3 linked regions of the Saccharomyces cerevisiae S288C genome follow. The gene in region 2 interacts genetically with the main gene of each other region. Each region holds a gene or a part of one and is shown on either strand. Other genes may lie near its edges.

The links. Genes that interact genetically often act in the same process or in processes that back each other up.
Region 1: mutations in AQY3 (region 2) and DRN1 together harm fitness more than expected from each alone (negative genetic interaction), as found in Saccharomyces cerevisiae (one large-scale study listed by BioGRID).
Region 3: mutations in AQY3 (region 2) and YJL213W together harm fitness more than expected from each alone (negative genetic interaction), as found in Saccharomyces cerevisiae (one large-scale study listed by BioGRID).

The regions. Positions count from the first base shown.
Region 1 is NC_001139.9:668,729-672,644, reverse strand, and holds DRN1 (Drn1p), read right to left. Parts: upstream 2,258-3,916; coding exon 734-2,257; downstream 1-733. Other genes in the region: VAS1 (valine--tRNA ligase), read right to left, coding at 1-459; serine/threonine-protein kinase DBF2, read right to left, coding at 2,738-3,916. UniProt on the Saccharomyces cerevisiae protein: Involved in branched RNA metabolism, modulating the turnover of lariat-intron pre-mRNAs by the lariat-debranching enzyme DBR1. Enhances the debranching activity of DBR1 in vitro.
Region 2 is NC_001138.5:19,193-25,072, forward strand, and holds AQY3 (Aqy3p), read right to left. Parts: upstream 3,596-5,880; coding exon 1,655-3,595; downstream 1-1,654. Other genes in the region: DAK2 (dihydroxyacetone kinase), read left to right, coding at 4,231-5,880. UniProt on the Saccharomyces cerevisiae protein: Channel protein that mediates glycerol entry under ethanol stimulation. Does not seem to mediate glycerol uptake under standard conditions.
Region 3 is NC_001142.9:30,608-33,891, reverse strand, and holds YJL213W (uncharacterized protein), read right to left. Parts: upstream 1,730-3,284; coding exon 734-1,729; downstream 1-733. Other genes in the region: oligopeptide transporter OPT1, read left to right, coding at 1-42.

The DNA.
Region 1 (3,916 bases), on a different chromosome or scaffold from region 2:
AACGTTAGCAGGGTTATAAGCTTTTAAAGCCGGATCATCCAAGGATACTAAGATTTTTTTCTCACCTGGAACAGTTTTGTCAATAAATTCAGGGATTGGCTCAACTTCCTTCTTTTTCTTAGGTTTCTTTTGAGATGCACCTGTGGTGGCAGCAGCATTTTTTTTAGCTTGTTTGGCAGCGAACTTTAACAGTTTTTCAGCCTTTTTCTTCTCTTTTTCAATTTCCTTAGGAGTCTTTGGAGAGCCATCTTCCTTTAACGGATTAATGATGACCTCACCAGTCTTTGGGTCAACTGGAGGCAAATTATCAAGATCGCTCATTTTAAAGAACCTGACTTGATTATGAGTTAACGACTTCTTCAGAGAAAAGTTTTGACAAAGTGGTAATGATCGCCTATAATGACAGTTCAAAAGCCGAAAAGTGAATGTCTTAGATAATGTGTTTAACCACTTATTCATACCATCTAAGTAATTCCATAAATCTGAAGGACATACAACAACGATGACAGCCAGTGGTAGCACACACAGAGAACACCAGTAGGCTGTATGGGTGACTCTTCTAAAAAAATTTTTTCAGCGCGGTCTCTCGAAGAACTTTACCCGGTTTTTCTTTTAATTCATCACCTCTGAGTTGCTAGGTCTCTTAAACGTTCAGAGGTAGCATGACTTAGTATTCTACATATATATACATATATTTGGATATATTTGAAATTCTAAATGAAATAGTTTTAGTTTAGTTTTCTGTGAGAGAAATGTCATAGGTCCTGTAGGCCTTTTGAAACTTTTCAGCCTCTATAGTCTCTTGTTGCTTAGTTTGTAAACAGGTTGAAGAATTCCATTTCACCCTGCGTGGCAAGTTAAGTAAAAAGGCTAGTACACGTCGTCCAAACTGCAGATCTATTGTCTCACTGGCATTAAATGTGGCCAAATATATCTTTGGGTCCGCTTCAGGAGTCTCGTAGACGGTAAATTGTAAATAATTATTGGATTGGTTGTTAATTACATCCACATATTGTTTGGAAGAGTGTGAATCGTAACATTGGAACTCTAGCTTAGCATTTCTTGTGAATTTTTCGTTATTGAAATGAACCTGTCTATCTAAGGCACTGCAGAACTTTAGAACGAGGTATTTTGGAACGGGAATAACTTGTTTGTGGAAATGAATAGAACGTTCAGACTGTATTTCGAAGACAATCGTGCACATATCAAATTTTATGTAGTTCATCTTCACAAGACTAGCTTCATAAGCCAAAATACTCTGTGTCAACTCTGCGTTCTTGCTTGGATCTAATTTCGGAATATGTTCAATGGGAATAATGAGGCAATGGCCTGAGATATCCATATCACCCTTAGGAACACTTAAAGGTCCCTTCGCTGTGGTTAAATACACTAGTTTGCCGATTGATATTATCATATGATCCTCGAGGTTTGGATTTGAAAAGCAGAAATGACAACTTGACGGCAAAATCGTTCGAATTTTTTTATTTTCATTCTTTTCTCTATTAGCAAGTACCTGTTTGTCTCCATCGAACGAATTCTCTGTTTCTGTTTCTAGTGGCCTTTTATTGCTGTTTGTAACCACGCTATTATACGGGTTAGCTATCAAGTTGGGCGGTTCAGGTTCATCCTTTAGTTCGTTGTCCCCTATTGGCATATTGAATGCATAGGCCCATTTCTTTCCAGATCCATATTTTGGAATATTGAGGAACCTCGATAAGCGCTCTCTTTCCCACTGGAAAGGCTCTAATTCGTAAAAGTTTATTTCATCTGAAAAGGCAAAATGGTACCTTGCTTGTAACTTTTTCGCCAATTCATCAACAACTTCACTTCCAGACAACCTTCCACATCTCTCAGAGATCGAAAGGCCCCATTCTTTTGTAAGGAGAATGTCTACCTGATCCTCACTTTTGCCAAATTCGTCCAGTATGCTTTTTTTCTCCCCTTGAAGAGTATCATCCGGATAAATAAAATATGAAAGAGTGATTCCATTTGCTAATTTATAAGTACCCATATTATGCAGCAATGTTACATTTTCATTTATCTTTTTGGATTTCGAATTGTTAGCCTTATCACACGATAGTAGTATTAGTTGAGGTAACCCATCAGTATTCAGCTCAAAATTTTCATCATACGAGTTACTGAATATAATTATTAGATCAAAGGGCCCTGATTTTTCATTCACTTTCTTGATCTTTCTGATAGCCTCATCGGCATCGCTTTCACTTATATGAGCTACTAAAATCTTTGCATTTGTCATCCTATTTTTATATGTAAGTTTTTGAAGTGAAAAAGATATCAGTAAACCATAAGCCCTTTTTTATATATTATGGATCCTTCTAAGAGAGCTACCTTGCGTTTTTTGTACATCTAGCAATGTAGTATCAGTCCAATTTGTAATTATCATTGAAAAAACAATTGATGTTAACACCCATTCCTTTTCATTTTTTGCAGATTTTCGATTAATAGTGGTCATTGCTGTTTTCCTGTAAAACATTACCAAGTTTCGCCGCTCCCAACATGAATGCTTAAGTTTAGTTCAAAACGGTCATGGGATGGACCGTTACCGTGAACTGAGATTTTAAACAATGGGCTTGAAGTCCTAAGTAATGCACAACTATATATATATATATGTATATTTATGAAAAAAGCGTTCATAGGTGCTAGTTGAAAAGTTTGCATGAAGCTCGTTAAAGCTAATTATATCGCGGCGAATGCAAGACAAGAATTCATTTTTACGCTAGTAAAAGGTTGAAAAGGGGTCTGAGTGTTCCAGTCCGTTGAATAAGATGCCACTGGAACCCTGTTTACCATTTCTATGTCGGAAAGTGAACCCAACAAGTTTTGATGATACTGCCGAGTCATCTACCATAGCCGTTAATTTGTCTTGTCTTTTGAAAACATCAGCATATTTGGCCATGTCAGCCTCACTGGTGAAGTCATCAAAATAACCGGCATCAGTTTCGCTGTCTAGTTGGGGTGTAAAAGGCGGGATCATTGACCTCAAAGTACTAAAGTTTATATCTGCAAAATAAGACATGCGTTTAACATGTTCGAAGGATCTTAATCGATTGATTGGATCGGCAATCAATCTTGTTATTAAATCCCAAGTTCTATCGGAGAATGCTGCCCTCCCATCAGATTGTCTCGGTCTTCTTAAAGTTTGTTTCCAGCGCCTTAAGTTGTCATAGGTCTCATTAGTCGATGATCCACTAAATGGTGTATAACCAACTAAACTTTCGAACAGCATACAACCCAACGACCAGTAATCCACAGTAAAGTCATATTTCTTTCCTTCTAAAACCTCCAAAGCCATATAATCCGGAGACCCAACCATGGAGTTCGCATAATTAATTTCCTTCTCCCTCAACTGGTTGTACATTTTTCTTCTATCTTCTATAGATTTCTCTGTAAACGCTGGAAATTCCAGGTCCTTGATTTTTTCTAACCTTATCTTCATACTTTCAATTCTTTCATTAGAAATCGTACCAGCAGCCAAACCAAAATCTGTTAATTTTATATGTCCCTTGGCATCGATTAAGAAGTTTTCCGGCTTTAAATCTCTATGTGTATAGCCTAAATCATGTAACGCATTAACAGCGCAAAACATTTCACTGATGTAAAATCTCGCATGGCCACTTTTCAAGCATCTAGTATTTATTAATAATGTACGAAAATCACCGCCTGGTACAAATTCCATAGCCAGGTATAAACTTTGTAGGTCTTGGAATGCATACAGAAGTTTTACTAACCATTCAGACCTTGTCGTGGTTAGGATATCTCTTTCAGTTAAAACGTGTTTTGTCTCGTTGAGCTTAAACAATAGTTTTTTGTTCAAAATTTTCAAAGCACACACCTCTTTTGTGTCTTTCTTTCTGGCTAAATAAACTTGCCCATAACCACCTTGACCTACTTGTGT
Region 2 (5,880 bases):
TTACGCCGGCCAGGGTTTTTCATAGACCATTTATGAGATATTATACAGCAATATTCTAGCACAAAAGATAATCAACCCGAAATATCAATTTCATAGGGTATAAACCCAAGAACCTCTTGACCGGTGACTTTTTCTCCGAGTTATATTCTAGACCAAGCACCTCTTTTCACCTAGCACATCTTATCCTGTTCCTGAAAAATACAGTTTATACGAGCTTGCGTGTTTTCCAAAGAAAAGAGCAAATGCAAGATTCAAGATTACTGTTCTTGTTTTATTTGCACTTATCCAATCAAAAGCTCGTTTAGGGATTGTAGAAGAGCTGACTATTGTAGTTAAATATTAGGGGAAATGAATATATTTTATCATGGGAAATACGTGGAACGTGTAATATGTTGTTGCTGCTCCCAAAATAAATTTACCTGACGAAAACCTTATATTTCCGGAAAAAAAAGCTTAAAGATAAAAGGTTAATTGTACTTTTAAACTCTTGCGGAATCTCTGTGCTCGGAGAAAAATATCCTGGAAAAGAAGATGCGGGGTAGGCGGACTTAAAAGATAAGTGCACATTTTTCCGGACTTCGAGTGGCGACAGACAGCCTGTTAACTATTTTTGAGAATAATTAATCTTTAGGGGGGTTTTAGTAAAACAAACAAAAGACTCAAAATAACGCCAAGAACATCCGAAGAAGTCCTGGTCGCGCTTTTTGCTGAGGTGGCTTTAAAAAACTAGTTTGCTGAGAGATGTAATAATGGCTTTAACAGATAATTCCTCGTTTGGCCACATTATCAAAAGGCAACCTCTTTCTGAAAACGGTATAGCCGGAAATGACTGCCGAGTTATATTATTGTTCGGTATACTCAAGTTATTGGTACGAAATATACGATAAGAATCTACCGAATTTTCATCCATTTAGTGAGAACGTTGGGTGAATTGAAAAAGGTGATAGATTTTTCTGCTTTGGCCTTGGATTAGCCAAAGTATCAATCCTTAAAATATTTGCTGGCAGTGTGATTTTTGCCCCTATCTGAGCAAATTTTGTTATCTTTTTCAACGTCAGGCTGAAATTGACAACTTGAGTAACGTAAATCAATATGGCACTTCTCCAATTTATATCGCATGAGAAAAATAGCATTGGTCAATCATACAGAACGTAACATCAAAAAACAACCGTTTACATATATATAATCACTTGTCTAAAATTGATTGAAATTGCATATGAGAAAATATATGATAATGACAATAATTTTCTTTGAGCACAATTAGTTTATTTGGCAACTTGCTCTTTATTATTAGTAAATATAGCACATATTCATATAAAACACATCTTCAGTGGGATTACCTAGTTGATGGTGCCAGGAATTTTCCTATCGTCAACGAGCTGAAAATTTTATTATTTTTATTAATAACATAATGTGAGACTCCTGGTTTGACATTTAATTTTACGTATTAGTCGAATTTTGTTCTTGCCTACAATAAAAAGACAATTAAGCCGCAGGCAGTCTCATTCTTTATTACAAAAACAAAACGATAGAATTTAGAGCACAAGTAAGAGATGGTAACAAAGTCACGGCTCCCGGATGTAGTATGTCGTCAAATAATAAGTTCGTGAAATTAATAATTAGGTTATAAATCGTAAAAAATTGAAAATATTAATTATGACGAAGTAGGCACAGATTTCTTGCTGCCAGTGTTGCTGTTGCTGTTAACACCAGATTCATCTGAGACAGTGCCATCATTCTGGTGGAACTCCGCATGTAAAAGTTTACCTACCCTATTCTCAATATAACCGTTGTCTGGGTAGTTGACTGGGGATTCGCATCCAGTAAAAATGAAAATGTCATATATGAGTGCTCCAGCAATACCGCCGGCAATTGGACCACCCCAGGCTCCCCATGTCCACCACCAATGTGTGAGATGAAAAGCATGTGGACCATAGCCAATCATGGAAGCAAATATGCGAGGACCGAGATCTCTTGCAGGATTGATTGTGAAACTTGTTTGATATCCAAGGGCCATACCAATTGCAGCGACTAAGAATCCAATAATTAATGCGGTCATACCATTGCCAGGTGGAGCATTACTATCATCCAATAGCGCCATCAAACAACCCACAAGTATAGAGGCTCCTATGAATTCGTCAAAGAAGGCATTTCTCCACGTGACGTAAGACTTTGGATCAGTAAACAAACACGCACCGGTCGCCGTTGTTCTTATGTGCGGACCTCCCTCAAATTCTGTGATAGAGCTCCAAAAATAACCATAAGCCATAGCTCCTCCAAAATATGCACCGATAATCTGAGCAACAATATATACGGGCACCTTTTTCCAGGGGAATTTTCGAAAAATTGCCATTGAAATCGTAACAGCAGGGTTAATATGACCACCACTAATACCGCCTGCGACGTAAACACCAAGCATACAACCGAACCCCCATGCAAATGATAGGGATTCATAGGAACCACCACTACCTTTTGTTACAGTTGCTTGAAGATTACCACCAACACCAAAAATGACAAGAACTAGTGTCCCGAGAAACTCCGCAAACGGTTCTCGCATATGATAGCGAATTTTTGCCCAAAAGTTAGGAAATGTCATTATATCCGCGTCTTCATCTTCTGAGGCACCAATTTCATTACCATCTAATGCACTCGTACTTTTATTTTCCTCTTCAATAAGTTCTTCAGGAAGCTTCGTATAAACCGGAGTAGAACCATCGAGGGTTTGCATGTTCTTTAATTTTCTGGATTCTGCATCGGCTATGGAGGATGCGTAGCTTTCATCGCCTAATGAAAAATTGACATTATGCGAAGTACGCTTTTTCTTACGTGAAACATTCTCAATATGCGTGTTAGAGGGCTTTTGTGGGTTTTCAGGCTCTAACTTAGTAGGTTTCACATCTGCACCAACAGTATTATCGCGTTGCGTTTGAGCTTCGATGTCACCAAGCTTTTTACCCGGTGCTGCACCTCTAAGGAGCCTTTTCCAGTCTTTCACTGACGTAGTAGAACCCCCCCTTGAAATATCGGTCGACCCTCGTCTCGATGATGCGCGGGACCTTGCATCCATATTCTTTTGTATCATCTTTGCTGCCAAGCCTCGATCCAATACATGCGGTAACGGCTGATTTAAACTCCAAACAGGCCTGTTCCTGCTACTACCCATAGTTGGATTTAATTGCCGATATAGTGGGTCTACATAATTATTACTGTTGCCTTGATTTACCCCCCTGGATAGATAATCTTGCATTATACGTGCTTGCTCAGCATCTGAAAAACTGTTTAAAGTCTTCAAATTAGGCAAAGAATAAGTAAAACCCATGGAAGGGACCTGTGGTTGTACCGAATCCTTCCTCTCGTCAACCACTTTTTTCAAGGGTGTCAAAGCAGAAAGTTTATTTCTCGATGATCCTCCAGTTTCAATTGCTTTTCGAGTCTCACCTAGCTTTCGCCTCAAGAGAGTGCTGTCATTTTCGTTATTTTCCCTAGATTTTTTGACACTTTCTTCCCAAGCTATTTTACCATTAGGTTCTTCTTTTAGCGTTGGTGGCCGTGTACTCTCGGAAGAGGAGGATGACCTCCCAGATTCGTAACTCATTACTTGGGTCTAGATCATATATCAGAGGAGCGTTATACTGTGCGATTATACGCTTCTTTTTATATGAATAAGGGGGAGACATGGTGAAAAGGTACCAGAACTTTTGATCGACCAAGACTAGGTAAAGCTCAAACAACGTTTATAACTCAAATTTCCGGGGTAAGTGGGGTACCGGAAAATTATGATATTCCGGAGCGGAGTTATCAACGGAGAAAACTAGGCCTTCTGATGGAACTTAATTTAAAAAATTAATCACAACCTATGCATATTATTCCCGCAGAGGGTGATTGTGAGTAAATCCCTGCACAGAAACAATTCCCGCCAGGCCATAACTAGATTCTAAATTATTTAACTCATAATTTCATGAAATCGTATCGTAGTACCAAATAGGGAGATATTGAGCCAAGTAAATTCTTACGTCACCATAGTTGGATAATTAAGTACTTGATATTGTATAAGGATCTCAACAATACGAGAAGGGGAAAATACCGCAATGTGTGATTGAATTTTCAAACTTTGGATCATTAAATATATATAAATGAACCCAGATCAGCCCTTTTTTTTTCTAGTATTGTCTGTAAAGTGTATTTTACCTCAAAATCTGACAAAACCCAACTACAATTGACTAAATAATCATGTCTCACAAACAATTCAAATCAGATGGAAACATCGTTACTCCCTACCTACTTGGCCTTGCTCGAAGCAATCCCGGCCTTACAGTGATTAAGCACGACAGAGTGGTTTTCCGGACTGCGTCAGCTCCTAATTCAGGGAACCCTCCTAAAGTTTCATTGGTTTCTGGAGGTGGCAGTGGTCATGAGCCAACGCATGCCGGTTTTGTTGGTGAAGGTGCCTTAGATGCGATTGCAGCAGGTGCCATTTTTGCTTCTCCTTCAACTAAACAGATCTATTCTGCTATTAAAGCTGTTGAATCTCCTAAGGGTACCTTGATCATTGTAAAAAATTACACCGGTGATATTATACATTTTGGTCTCGCTGCTGAAAGAGCTAAAGCTGCTGGAATGAAAGTCGAACTGGTTGCTGTAGGAGATGATGTCTCTGTCGGTAAGAAGAAAGGTTCTTTAGTCGGGCGTCGAGGTCTCGGAGCCACCGTATTGGTGCATAAAATTGCTGGGGCAGCCGCTTCTCATGGACTGGAGTTGGCAGAAGTTGCCGAAGTTGCTCAGTCAGTAGTTGACAATAGTGTCACAATTGCGGCATCTCTTGATCACTGCACGGTTCCTGGCCACAAACCTGAAGCCATTTTGGGCGAGAATGAGTATGAAATCGGTATGGGTATTCATAACGAGTCTGGTACCTATAAGTCTTCTCCGCTGCCATCGATTTCTGAGCTCGTTTCCCAGATGCTTCCTCTTCTTCTCGATGAGGATGAAGACCGTTCTTATGTGAAGTTTGAGCCCAAAGAGGACGTAGTTCTTATGGTTAACAACATGGGTGGTATGTCTAATCTAGAATTGGGTTATGCTGCAGAGGTCATTTCTGAACAATTGATTGATAAGTATCAAATTGTGCCCAAGAGAACGATTACTGGAGCATTCATTACTGCATTGAATGGTCCTGGGTTTGGTATCACTCTTATGAACGCTTCAAAAGCTGGTGGCGATATCCTTAAGTATTTCGATTATCCTACCACAGCGAGTGGATGGAATCAAATGTACCATTCTGCCAAAGATTGGGAGGTACTTGCCAAAGGGCAGGTTCCCACCGCCCCCTCTTTAAAGACATTGAGGAATGAAAAAGGTTCGGGTGTGAAAGCTGATTATGACACTTTTGCTAAAATTTTGCTTGCTGGGATTGCAAAAATTAACGAGGTTGAACCAAAGGTTACTTGGTACGATACCATTGCAGGAGATGGTGATTGCGGAACTACTCTTGTGTCCGGTGGTGAAGCATTGGAAGAAGCTATTAAAAACCATACGTTGCGCCTCGAGGATGCTGCTCTTGGTATCGAAGATATTGCGTATATGGTTGAGGATTCTATGGGTGGTACGTCCGGTGGTCTGTACTCTATCTATCTTTCTGCTCTCGCACAAGGAGTTAGGGATTCTGGGGACAAGGAACTTACTGCGGAAACTTTCAAAAAGGCATCAAACGTTGCACTAGATGCTTTGTATAAGTATACGAGAGCCCGTCCTGGTTACAGGACTCTGATCGATGCTCTGCAACCTTTTGTCGAAGCGCTGAAAGCCGGGAAGGGTCCCAGAGCCGCCGCCCAAGCTGCTTATGATGGTGCCGAAAAGACAAGGAAGATGGATGCCCTTGTT
Region 3 (3,284 bases), on a different chromosome or scaffold from region 2:
TTAAAGAAAGGTGAGACATTTGGTTATGATAAATGGTGGTAATCATGAAAACATAATAATAAACCTGCAGAGGTTCATATCAAGTTTTAATTCAAAATTTGGCACACGTAATAGCAAACTTTAGTTCATATTCTGTAATATTAAGAAATTATTTTCTTTTCTGTCATCCTTTCATATTGCTTAACTTGAAATACTTTATCTCAACGTTTAATTATACTGTTAATAATGATATTTCTATATTTTAGAGCACATTTTGGTCGAAACATTCAAAGCGACCCCTGCAATATTTAGCGGAGGCATCTCATCCGCCTTATTTTTGTAAATTAACGATCTTTAGCGCATGCCAAGTGTTCGATAACAAATTCCGACTTTAAGAAAAAACGGGCACGAGCATACAATAAAAAAACTTTTAAAATTTATACCTCCTTGAGGTGTTCTATTTTATGATAGATCCGTATTTCAGATACCAAATGTTATATACACTTTTTTAAGCTTGGATTTTTTTCTGAATACACGGACCTTACAAATGCTATAAAAAAAAAAAAGATTCTGTAACTTGTAAAATTAAGGGCCCTAAAGGGCCATATCCACCTCACATTTCACTGTGATATAAGTAGGATATTTTGACTTCAATACTTAAATTTACAAGCCAAATATTTTATTATGACTTCAAAAAAAAAAAGGCTTCTAGCATTCAGAAATAATGCTGACTGTGAAAACAACTATAACTACATCAATATATCCTTCCCTCTTTCATGACAAATAGTATGTTGCTCTCGGGTTCATCCAAAATCGTTATATCGTCCAACGGATTTGATTTCATCATCAGTAGGTCAGCAATGAACCCTGGCTTAATCTGTCCCAATTTATCGCCTAATCCGTTCATTTCGGCAGGAGTAACAGTTGCTGAGAGCAAAATCTCTTGTGTCGTTTGAACTTTCCCTCTAATACGAAACTCTTGCGTTTGATAACCATATAGAGGACCCAATAAATCTGAACCAAAACAAATTTTAACTTTTTTTTTCTGGGCAATTTTCATTGCATCAATTCCTTTGTAAAGCACCTCTGTATTTTTTCTACTATTTTCAGGTCCCAAGAATGCACTAAATTGATCAGAACCCATCACTTTGTAGGTAACTAGTGTTGGAGTCAAGTAGCAACCCAATTCTGCCATAAGCTCTGCGGTACGTTCATCTAATAAGTTTCCGTGTTCGATACCCTTAACACCTAACTTGATACAATTTTGTATCGCTTCCGCAGTGTAGGCGTGTGCTGTTACGTATGTGTGGTAACTATTTGCGACATCTACAAGTGCTTTTATTTCGTCGTCGCAAAATTGTTTGTTTGATATTTTGTCAGTTGGAGAGGCCACACCTCCACCACCCATAATCTTAATAAAGTCTGCACCTCTTCTAAACTCTTCTCTGGCCGCTTTGTAGCATTCGGGAACACCATCTGCTACAACACCAACTTGACCAAAGTGGCATGAACAGCTGTCAAAGGCACTAGCAGGTAGGGCACCAGATCTCAGATCGCCATGACCACCAGTTTGGGAAATGGCATGTCCACACGTAATTAATCTGGGACCATTCAAGGATCCCTGACGAATCTCTGCTTTCAGAAAGCCTTCTGCACCCCCACAGTCTCTCACTGTTGTGAAACCTCTTGCCAGAGCGGCTTCCAAAGTGTATCTTATTCTGAGTAATGCAACTGACTTTGGCATCAGCATTAACTTGGTCAGATCAGCCTCTCCTGCAACCGACGCAATGTGGACATGACTGTCGATCAGACCTGGAGTGACATACTTACCGGTGCCGTCAATAATTTCAAAGGCAACTTCATCAACGGTTACCGGCTTTTCAGAACCAAATTCGACCTTGGAAATGACACCCTGTTCTATGAAGATGTAAGCTCCGAGGAGACTGACACCGCTTACCACATCTATCAAATTAGTGTTACTTATACAGTAATTTTTGAGTGGCTCTGGGCGCTATGGTGCCACCAAGTCGGCCAGGGACTTGTTCATTCCTTCATTGACATCGATTTGATAAGTCGTCATTTTTATCTCGGTTAATATACTGTTTCGATGTCCCGTCAATTGGAAAGAAAAGCTACGCTACATACCAGCAAATATGTTGCTTTTATATTCGCTCATATCGGAGATCAATTACCGACATACTCTTCTCTATTCAACAAGTTCTCCGTTCTCCGTCAAGTTACGTCGTTTACGAACGATAAGAGGCTGATCAAATAGGAAGGAGATATTGTCGGATCATTTTTTAGTATGGAGATAATGCGTCATGCCGACATGAAGGCACCATCATCTGTGAAGTGTGTCAAGAAAAAACTGGCGAAGTTAAAGCTAGATAATCCGAATAAGAGGGATAGTAGAAAGGAGGTGAAGTAAAAAAATTATCACCATTTTTTCTCTATTAGTAATGAATTCTTCAAGGACTTTCAAAAGTAAACGTCACAAAAATTTTTATTTCTCAAGAATCTTGTTTATCGAAGGGTCTTTATTGAGAAATGTTAGAAAATTGGTAACTTTTTAAGATCAGAGTTAACAGGCAGAAAAAAAACAGGGTCTTTTTGTTCAGGAACCCTTTTTGGCTGAAAAAAAGAGCGCACAGAACAACGCGAAAAAGAAAAGGAGGAAATCGCGTATCCTTATGGCGTCGCAAAATTGCAATTAGTTAGCTATGTAATCTGTTTGGAAAGCTTCCTCAAAATTAATAATGGCGAAAGCAATATAACATCACTATTACATCAGGAATAGCTGTTGCCATACGATAAGGGGGTAATGAACAGATTGCTCATTAATGTCTATATTATGCATAATACGATTTTAATGTTCGGAATCTGTAGATGGTGCTAACATTTTACATGAACCAGCGAATAACCAGACTGGACTCGTTTGACCAAAAAAATTTCTGTTGGTAGTCTGTGTAGGTTTTCACAAAGAATAGTATAAATTGATACGCAACGAAATTAGTGGTAAAAATTTTTGTTTACTTTACGGCTTACACGGGGCCGTGGCTGATACTGGGAATACCATATCGTTTCGTTCCAGTGCCGATAAAGTGGCTGAAAAAAATTTACATATTTTTCTTGAGAGAGGTCTTTAACTGGTCTCACAGAGACGGTTAATCAAATGCTCGGAAACAGGATAAATGAGGACATCTGCACAATCGGGTGTTACCGCCTTATCTTGTTAGCAGTGGCTATAATCACTCCAGAATATGCCGTCGTGTTGGTGGCATAAAAAATTCTTTTTTTGCCATATA